Cricetulus griseus: one gene and its partner. The protein of the gene in region 1 purifies or fractionates together with the protein of each later gene. This does not show direct contact. Links are inferred from orthologs where the notes say so. Each region holds a gene or a part of one and is shown on either strand. Other genes may lie near its edges.

The links.
Region 2: the proteins of Lsm1 (region 1) and Lsm6 purify together in Homo sapiens (co-immunoprecipitation; 3 studies listed by BioGRID and IntAct, counting the BioPlex papers as one, with this or other methods). This does not show direct contact. The link is inferred for Cricetulus griseus from reciprocal best matches to the Homo sapiens genes LSM1 and LSM6.

What each region holds. Positions count from the first base shown.
Region 1 is NW_023276807.1:57,996,382-58,000,912, reverse strand, and holds the start of Lsm1 (U6 snRNA-associated Sm-like protein LSm1), read left to right. Parts: upstream 1-1,519; 5' UTR 1,520-1,853; coding exon 1,854-1,899; intron 1,900-4,312; coding exon 4,313-4,381; intron 4,382-4,531. Other genes in the region: Bag4 (BAG family molecular chaperone regulator 4), read right to left, coding at 1,076-1,348. UniProt on the Homo sapiens protein: Plays a role in the degradation of histone mRNAs, the only eukaryotic mRNAs that are not polyadenylated. Probably also part of an LSm subunits-containing complex involved in the general process of mRNA degradation.
Region 2 is NC_048596.1:154,693,589-154,697,909, reverse strand, and holds the start of Lsm6 (U6 snRNA-associated Sm-like protein LSm6), read left to right. Parts: upstream 1-1,298; 5' UTR 1,299-1,436; intron 1,437-1,839; exon of another isoform or gene 1,840-1,858; intron 1,859-2,698; exon of another isoform or gene 2,699-2,768; intron 2,769-4,321. UniProt on the Homo sapiens protein: Plays a role in pre-mRNA splicing as component of the U4/U6-U5 tri-snRNP complex that is involved in spliceosome assembly, and as component of the precatalytic spliceosome (spliceosome B complex).

The DNA of each region.
Region 1 (4,531 bases):
GAAACAAATTGAATAGAGAATTCATTACTTTCTGGATGTTATGTTTTAGAACATATGCTATTGTATCCAGCCATTGGTAATCCAGCCATCAGTTGATAACTACATGAGTTTTTGGCCGTTGTGATTAATGATGCTATGAAGACATGTTAAACAACTTTTTAGGTGGACATGTCTTCCATTTCTTTTTTGTTTTTGTTTTTTGTTGTTTTCCATTTCTTGAGTATACTTAACAAGTGGATCTGCTAGATCACAAGCTAATTCTCTGCCACAAATTTTACAAACTACCCAGCTATTTCCCAAAGCACTGTAGTATTTTGCAATCCCATCATTAATGATTGGGAAATTTTATAGTTCATTTTCAGAAAATAAGGATGTTATGAAGGCCAAAGATGTGTGCCACCATCCTATACCATTTCTCCTTACAAGGAAAAAAATGGGAATACATTTTTGGCATGTATACAGGTAATAAAATGTTACAGGTCCAAATATATTAGGCAAGTTAATCTCCCAGAGCCGCCTTCTTTCACAAATGGGAAGCATTAATAACATCTGTCTTTCAGCCTTGTGGTGATTAAATAGAACATAAAGGTACTTTGCAACATTGATTATTCGTGATTCAATCCCAGGCAAAGATTTAGTGATAAGGGACTAAATGATGGATCCCCCCCCACCCCTCCCCCGCGGGAGGGGCTGCTGAGTAACGCCTGGGACTGCAGCTGCCCGAGCCACGCAGGATAAATTTTTACAGCCCAATCACCCTACATTACGCTCTCGGGAGACAGATTCCTGCAGCCTGCTACTAAGCTTAGGAAGTCAGCGCAGAATAATTTTTTTTTTTTTTTTTTTGGTGATAACTGGCACTCTTATGACGGCTGAAGTAAAAATGAAGGGACAAATGGAACACAAGCATCTATCCCCTCACTTACGTCTCCAGTCTCTTTCTCTGCACCTTCCCCAGAAGAAGAACAAATCAGAAACCCGAGTCGTAACAAACCCTAAGTATAAAACCCCCAATGGTCCTCACCTCCGCCCAAGACTTCCCTTCTGGGTCCCGGGAAAAGACTGCGAAGCTTACCTGGTGTGCGCCTCCGGCTCTGCTCGGCTCTGCCCAGGCGGCTCCGGAGGGGTAGTAGGCATCGCCACCTGCGCCTTCTCCGGGCCAGGTGGTCTCGGCCGGGGCGCCCCCGCGCCCTCGCCAGGAAACTGGAGGCTGGGGAGGCTCGGGCCGAAGAGGAGGGTATAAGGGCGGAGGTACGTGCACCGGGACATCGCCACCCCCGGGCCCATAGTAGCGGCCGTACGAAGGGCCGTCACTGGGGCCGTAGCCCGAGCGCCTCAGGGCCGACATGGGCTCCGCTGCCGCGAAGCGCTTCCCGCCCCCCACGGCCGGCCCATTGCGCAGGCGCCTGCGGGCGACAGGTACTGGCCGGCGGCGAAAGGGGTCGGACGGCTGCAGCCAATCCCGAGCAAGTCCCGCCCCTTGCACGCCGAGCGCCGAGCCTGGGATGGAGCGTACCCCTCACTCTGGGGCTCGGAGCAGGAAAGCGGAGAGACACGGTACTCGTGACGCGCGGGGGAAACGCCTGTCTCCCCGCCCTCCGTCCAGTCGATCTGGACTCCACTTCACTGCCCCGAGAGGAAGAGACGCTGCCCACCACCGCTCGCCCGGCACGCCTCTTTCTGTGGACGGACAGGCGATACCGGAAGTGGGTGGGGTAACTTGAAAGCGCTTCCGGCGACTAGCGGCAATTGAGTTGCAGGTGAGCGGCGGGTTCCCGTCCGTGTCCCGCCGACGGGCGACTGGATGCCCTCGCCCACCGTGGCTGTCCAGGGCAGCCTTGCCTGAGCTCAAAATGAACTATATGCCCGGCACCGCCAGCCTCATCGAGGACATCGACAGTGAGTACCTCTCCCCGGGGGAAGCCTGGTGTGGGACCTTTCCTCGAGAGGGCTCCCCTCGAGACGGAGCTTCGAGAGTGAGCCCTGGCCCCGGCGGGCTGGTCTGCCTTCACAGCCTCGGAGCCCATCCCTAACCTGCCTCCCCTGCCCCTGGACTGGGGACCCTCACCCTGTGGAACTCCTTCCGAGGGGCGCAGCATCCGACGTGCGAACTGTGAAGTGACCCAGGCGACTTCCTTCGTGTACCCTGCCTTTCCTGCAAGTTATACTTGACGGCAGATGGTTGAGTGCTTCTAGGAGGACCCACCAAAACCCGAAAATGTTAAGACGGCAGCAGTTGAATTTAATTAGCAGTCAGCGCAGGTTTTCTGTTGTGTAGCCCCTTGCAACCTTCTTTTTCTATGAGGGTCGTTAGCGCTTTCAGATTAAAGTGGGGCAGGTGTCAGCTGTAATAACTGACTTTTTTAGAAAGGCGAAGTCTCTTCAGACTTACTTTTTTTCTGTTCGACAGCTTTGCTTTTCCTGAAAATAGGTCAGTTCTGTATAAACCAAGAGGATACAATTTCTTTTAAGGATTTTTATTGTTTATATTTGCATGTCTTGCATGTACGTGCACCGTGTGCGTGCCTGGTATCCACGAAGTCAGATACCCTTTTCTTCATCAAATCCTCTGGAATTGGAGTTGTTTTTTGTTTGTTTGTTTGTTTTGAGACAGGGTTTCTCTGTGGCTTTGGGGGCTGTCCTGGAACACACTCTGTAGACCAGGCTGGTCTCCAACTCACAGAGATCTGCCTGCCTCTGCCTCCCAAGTGCTGGAATTAAAGACATACACCACCACTGCCCAACCTGGAACTGGAGTTAAGGACAGTTGAGAGCCACAGTGTGGGTGCTAGTAACCGAACTCATCCTCTGTAAGGGTAACATGTGCTCATTTGAGCCATCTCTCCAGCCCACACTTTAATTTTTACCCCTAAATTCTTACCTGGTTCCTCAAACAGCTTTTTCTTGTTGTTTTGTTTTTTTGAGACAGGATTTATCTGTAATATCACTGGCTATGCTGGAACTCCCTCTGTAGACCAGGCTAGCTGCCTCTGCCTCCCGAGTGCTGGGATTAAAGGTGTGCATCACCACTGTCCGGCCTTTCACACAGCATTTTAAAAGCAACATTAAAGAAAAAAAACAAGATGTATATGAGTATGTATGTCTGTGTACTCTGTGCTTGCCTGCTGCTGGGGAGACCAAAAGAGGAAGTAGCATCCCCTGGAACTAGAGTTATAGGGGTTGTGAGCCACCATGTGGGTGCTGGGAATTGAACCCGGGTCCTTTGTAAGAGCAGCCAGTGCTCTTAACCACTGAGCCCTCTCACCATCCCTCTATTGATTTCTTGGTCTCTCTAACACTAGTTCTTGCTAATTTCCTTATCTTTCTGGACATTACTGTTTTCTAGATCAGGTGGTCAGAGCTGCCTGTTTGGTCTGTTTTCTCTAAATCTGTAGGCATTATAGACCTATTTTAGCATCGTAACTCCTATTTTCCATGTACCAGTCTTCAGTGTTTTCTTATTCCTTTTGAAGTTAAAGCTTGCCTCTAATACTTTTCTGACTTTAACTCCTGTTCTTTCCTTTAACTTTGAGACAAATGTTAATATACTACTTTTCCTCTGTATGCTTTATTTATTAGATTTTTTTTTTCATTTTGCTTTCCCTTTTCATAGACAAAATTTATCCTTCTAGGTCCAACTGGGATAGGTGTAGTTTCTTTCTTAAGTAAGATTTGCTTGATTGTGATAATTAGTTGTAGCCTAATATGACTATAAATTCCTTAGGGAAGAATCATAGCTCCTCTCTTCATATAGAAAGTACTTTATGCTGGGCATTGGTGACTCACACCTTTAATCCCAGCACTCAGGAGTCAGAGGCAGCCGATCTCTGAATTTGAGACCAGCCTGGTCTACAGAATGACTTTCAGGACAGCCAGAACAAAAACCAACAAACAAAAGTACTTTATGCATAGCATTAAAGAAATGAGTGGTTAAAATCTTGTATGCTTTTCTAATATCTGGCTTATTCTAATCCTTTACTGTCACTCTAAAGTTATCTCTTCAGAGAGAGCTCCCCTCCACACTTGGTATAGCCACTTTGGTGTGTTCTTCATTCTACTATCATGCTGTCTTATATATTATTCTGTTGTATTTGTCACATGACGTAATTCTACCACTGAGTCTTTCCAACACTGATCTCATCTAAATCCCAGCCTGCCCTAGTCTTCCCTCCCAAGTCTTACAACGAACACCACCCTAAAAACATTAGAAGAGGGTCCAGCTTAAACAGCTAGTAACTAAATTTTTATTGTTACCATATAAGCTCACTGGAACTGTCGCTTTTGTTTTAAAGATCTTTTCTCCTTTCCCCAGAAAAGCACTTGGTCCTGCTACGAGATGGAAGGACACTTATAGGTTTTCTAAGAAGCATCGATCAGTTTGGTATGTATTGTTATGAACTCACCCTTTACTCAACATTGAATTTTTTTGGTGTCATTTTATATTCAAATTTACTCATCTTTTTACTCTTAACTTTTCCCCATGTGTCAGCAAAGTGAACTGAAACTGATTTTCACTAGTGTTTTTATTTCC
Region 2 (4,321 bases), on another chromosome or scaffold:
AGTGAGGAACACAGTACAATTCTTTTGAGATAAGGTTTCAAATAGCCCAGCTGATCTCAAACTCATTTTGTAGCCTCAAATGAGCTTGGATTTCTGATCCTCCTGAAGCCACACTTGGGTGTGCACTGCTGTGCCCACCACTGTGGTGCCAGAGATGTTAATGCACACCAGGCATGCCATCAACTGAGCCAAATCCTCAGCTTCCAGTTTGATTTACAAAGCAGCCTGTTTTAGGGACAGGGCATAGCACTTTTCTTCTCTGCAGACAGTTATTTGATTTAAATGTGACTTTACTTGTGTTCTTAATTTTATATTTTACATTTCAAGAGCCTAAAATGCTGTCTTATCAATGTCTGTAGTTGACGGTCTTCGAGTCAGCTGAGGTTTTACAGAGGATAGAAAGATATGGCTGTTCCTTACCAAATCTCAGCCAGTTCTCTGTCTGTGGCACCAGTCACTGGTCTGTTTCTTTCGCCATTCACTAAGAGGCTCTTAGGAAAGGAGGAACCACTTTCTGTCTCAGGAAAAAGTTCTGCATTGTAGGACCTGTAAGATCTAACAGGGTGTGTAGCTGTTGTTTGAAGGTCTTATAACTGTGTTGATGATTAAACATCAGAAACAATTAAAATATAAATCTTAAATACAATATAAAAGAGAAATTAAAATATAAATGTAAAATATAAATGAGAGCATGGGTGTAGAAAAAAAGGAATCAAGTCTTCCTGTAATCTCTTCCTTCCATAAACAGTCAGCATACACTAAGAATTCATGCATTATCCCCAACCAAGTTCCCCCACAGCACTTAAATGGTATCTGCATGCTGTTTCCAATTAAACTAATTTGTAATGTCTTTTTACAATTGGCGCCATTGTAATAGAGTTGCTTTAAATTATTTATATTTTTGTAGCAAAATTGCTATGGAAACAATCTCTAACAGTAACTTAAACTTCATACATTTAATTAATATTCAGAAGTCGGTTGGGAGCTTGAGGCTTTTAACTTTTATTTGCTTTAAATTATTTAAGGCTATTTGGGGTACTTAATAGCCTATTATTTTAATCGTAAGTTTCTGTTTCCTGTCATTTTTAAGGTATTCTTTACTGTATTGGAATCTCAAAAGATTACTTCTAAATTTTTTTTCTTGGTTGTTTTGCTTTTGATTCGATTTTCTGGCAAAAAAAAAAAAAAAAAGACGGCAACATCAGAACACCGGCATTTACTTCAGCCCCTGGATGCTGAATTCACCACTGAAGAAACCAATTCTTGGAAGTGAGCGTTATGGAACGGCCTGATCCTTTTGGTCCCCGCGGGCTGCCGTAGGCAAGGAGGCCGCTGATTGGGTGAGGCAGCGAAGCGCGCTGCCGGGGGCGGTTTCGGTTTTCGCCGCGCGCGTCCGCGGAGGCCCGGCCTGTGAGGGCTCCGGATCCGGCTGCGAGGTGAGCCCGCGCGCGGCCCGGGAGGGAGGGGCGGTGGGGCGGGTGGGTGCTTGGAGCGGAGCGGTCGGCCTAGGCCGCGGAGGGCCGGGGCGGGCGGGGTTGCGGCTGGAGCCCAGGCCGGCCTGCGAGCAGCGGAAGGCCGTCAGGGCCACGCGGCCTCGCGCTCCCGCGCCGTGCGGTCCTGCCGTGCGCGCGCCGGGCGCCGGCTGTGTCAGCCCGGGTTAGGCGGCCGCCGCTCCCGCGCCCCCCTCCTCCGTGCGCGCTCGAGTCCCTCCACACGAGGACACGAGGAGCCGGGGAAAGGATCCCTGCTGGGCGCTTCCGTCTGCCCACTCCTCTCCTCCTGTGTGTGCCTGCTTCTCTTTCCGCTAGTACTACCAGAAATACTCGGTCTTCTGTCTACGTTAAACACATGCAGCCAGGTGTAACTTTAACATTCATTGCTTTTGTTTTGTCATTGCCTGGGTCCCATAAGTGACTCCGGTGTTTCCCCGATGGCTTCATCTTAGCGTCCATGCGATCCTGGGATGCACTTCCCGCCCTTGACTCTATTTCTCACCATCTCCTTGGACAAGTTCTCAGAGGAGAAGTCATTGGGTTAGATAGTTCTTGCACGTTGCCGGGTTGGTTCTCTTTAAAGTGTTAGTAAATTACCTCGTTCGTGTGTGACACCGGTTCTTTCACCAAATCCGTGAACACGCCTCCTGTGTTTCTAACAGTAGCAGAGTACAGCCTCTCTTTGGAATCGTTACTGATCTCGTTTAAACTTGCACGGAGTTTCTCAGTCTGGCCTTGAACTTTGGATCTTCCAGCAGTTGTGGTTCCGGGGTTACTTCAGGCATTGTTATTTTTTATTGTAATGCCTGTCGTTCTGCCATCAAGGTTTTCCTGCCGAATCTTCGTAGGAGGGGCAGGGAGAGAGAGAGAGCTGGTATTAACTGTGTGTGTTGGTATTACTGCACAACTTAACCACGTGCTTACTGGTATTCTCTCTCTCTCTCTCTCTCTCCCTCCCTCCCTCCCTCCTCCCTCCCTTCCTGTCTCTCCCCTCCTCCTCCCCCGTGTGTGTGTGTGTGTGTGTGTTGTGTGTGTGTGTGTGTGTTGTGTGTGTGTGTGTGTGTGTGTGTGTGTGTGTGTGTGTGTGTGTGCGGTGTGTGTTGGTATTAACTGTGTGTGTGTTGGTATTACTGCACAAGTTAACCAGATGCTGGAACAGAAAGACATAGTCAGTAACCATCTAGCATAACTCCCTTATTTTTCAGATGAGCCTGGGGCCATGAGAGGTGAGATGGGTAGCAGAGGAGATTAGAATACAGGTTACCTGCCTCCCAAGTGAGTACCCTTAACTACTGCATCAGGTCTTCTCTCACTGAAGGGTGGCCTAATAGAATTTTTTTTATTTGATTTTTTTTTTAATTCCCTGGCTTGCTTTCTCCTTTTATAATGAAGGACTGGAAAATAGAAAAGTCACTTTTTTTGTGTGTCCAGAACTAGAAATTTATTAGAATGCCAACCCATTCAAGATTTTAATGGTTGTTTTCAGGTTCTCAGTGTTGGGATAAAATACTCCTGATAAGTAAGACAGTTGTCCCTCAGTATCTGAGAGGGACTGGGTACAGAGCTCCCAATATTAAAAAGTGCATGGATATTCAAAGTTCCATATGTGTGTTTGCATATAACCTATGCAGTCTTCCTATGTTGTTCACATCATCTCTAGATCACTCACAATGTGTAATAGGATGTAAATGGTTGCAATGGAATATTGCTTAGGGAGTAATGACAAGGGAAAAGCCCTTTAGCTCTGTAACAGGTAAAACCATTGGAGCTGTAATTGCAACTTCATGTTACTAGATGTTGGCTGGATACACAGATAAGGAGAGGTGACTAGTTTATGTACTCATCATCTGGTTCTCATTTACATCTTGATTATTCTAAAGTACCTTGCTTGTTGTTTAAACCAGAAAATAAGGTTTGAAGAGGAGGGGAGGAGGTGGTAGTGGCAGTCATTCTGTGAGTTGACACGTTGCATCATATAGTCCTTTGTTGTAAAGGACTAGACTCTACACCAGTGGTTCGCAGCCTGTGGGCCGAGTCCATGAAAGACCCTTTCATGGAGATCACATAGCAGATATTTACATATGATTCATAACAGTAGCAAAATTACATTTATGAAGTAGCAATGAAAATAATTTTATGGTTGGGGTCACCACACATGAGGAATTATATTAAAGGGTTGCAGCATTAGGAGGGTTGAGAACCACTGCTCTACACTGTAGACTGTTGAGGGATGTCCTTGGCTTCTCTTCACTAGAGTCTGATTCCCGCTTTGACAATACATAATGTCTGTAGACATTTCCAAATGTTCCTAGAGGGTGGGGCACAAAAATCACCTTTGGTTGAGAACAACTTGCTCTTAGGAATTACCGTAGGCAACTTGATGTCAAAGTGCTTATGGTCAAGCCTGGCAACCCGAACTCAATTGCTGAACCCCACTTAGTGTAAAGAGAGAACAGACTCCCAAAAGTTATCCTGTGGCATATGCTTATTGCCCCTGCCCCACTAAATAAAACAAATGAATAAAAGCAATAAAAACAAAAAGCAAAGGACAGCCTTTTGGCTGAGTTAGCTACAGCAATCTGTGTCTGAACAGGCATCTTTGTAGATGTGGGTGTCTTGCCTTCTAAGCAAGTGCCCCTGCTTTCCTTTCTTGTATCACCTACTGGTCATTCATGAAGGTCTTACTGACTAGCAGGGTTAGAGTAGCTGGACCTGTGGTGTGTAGGTTGCTGAGGAGGGATTGGGACAGGGCTTTTGTTTGACACTGGCTTTGAATGCTTCTTCTACAGGCTTGCTCAGTCTGTTTAGGTGCCAAGGCTACCTGTCCC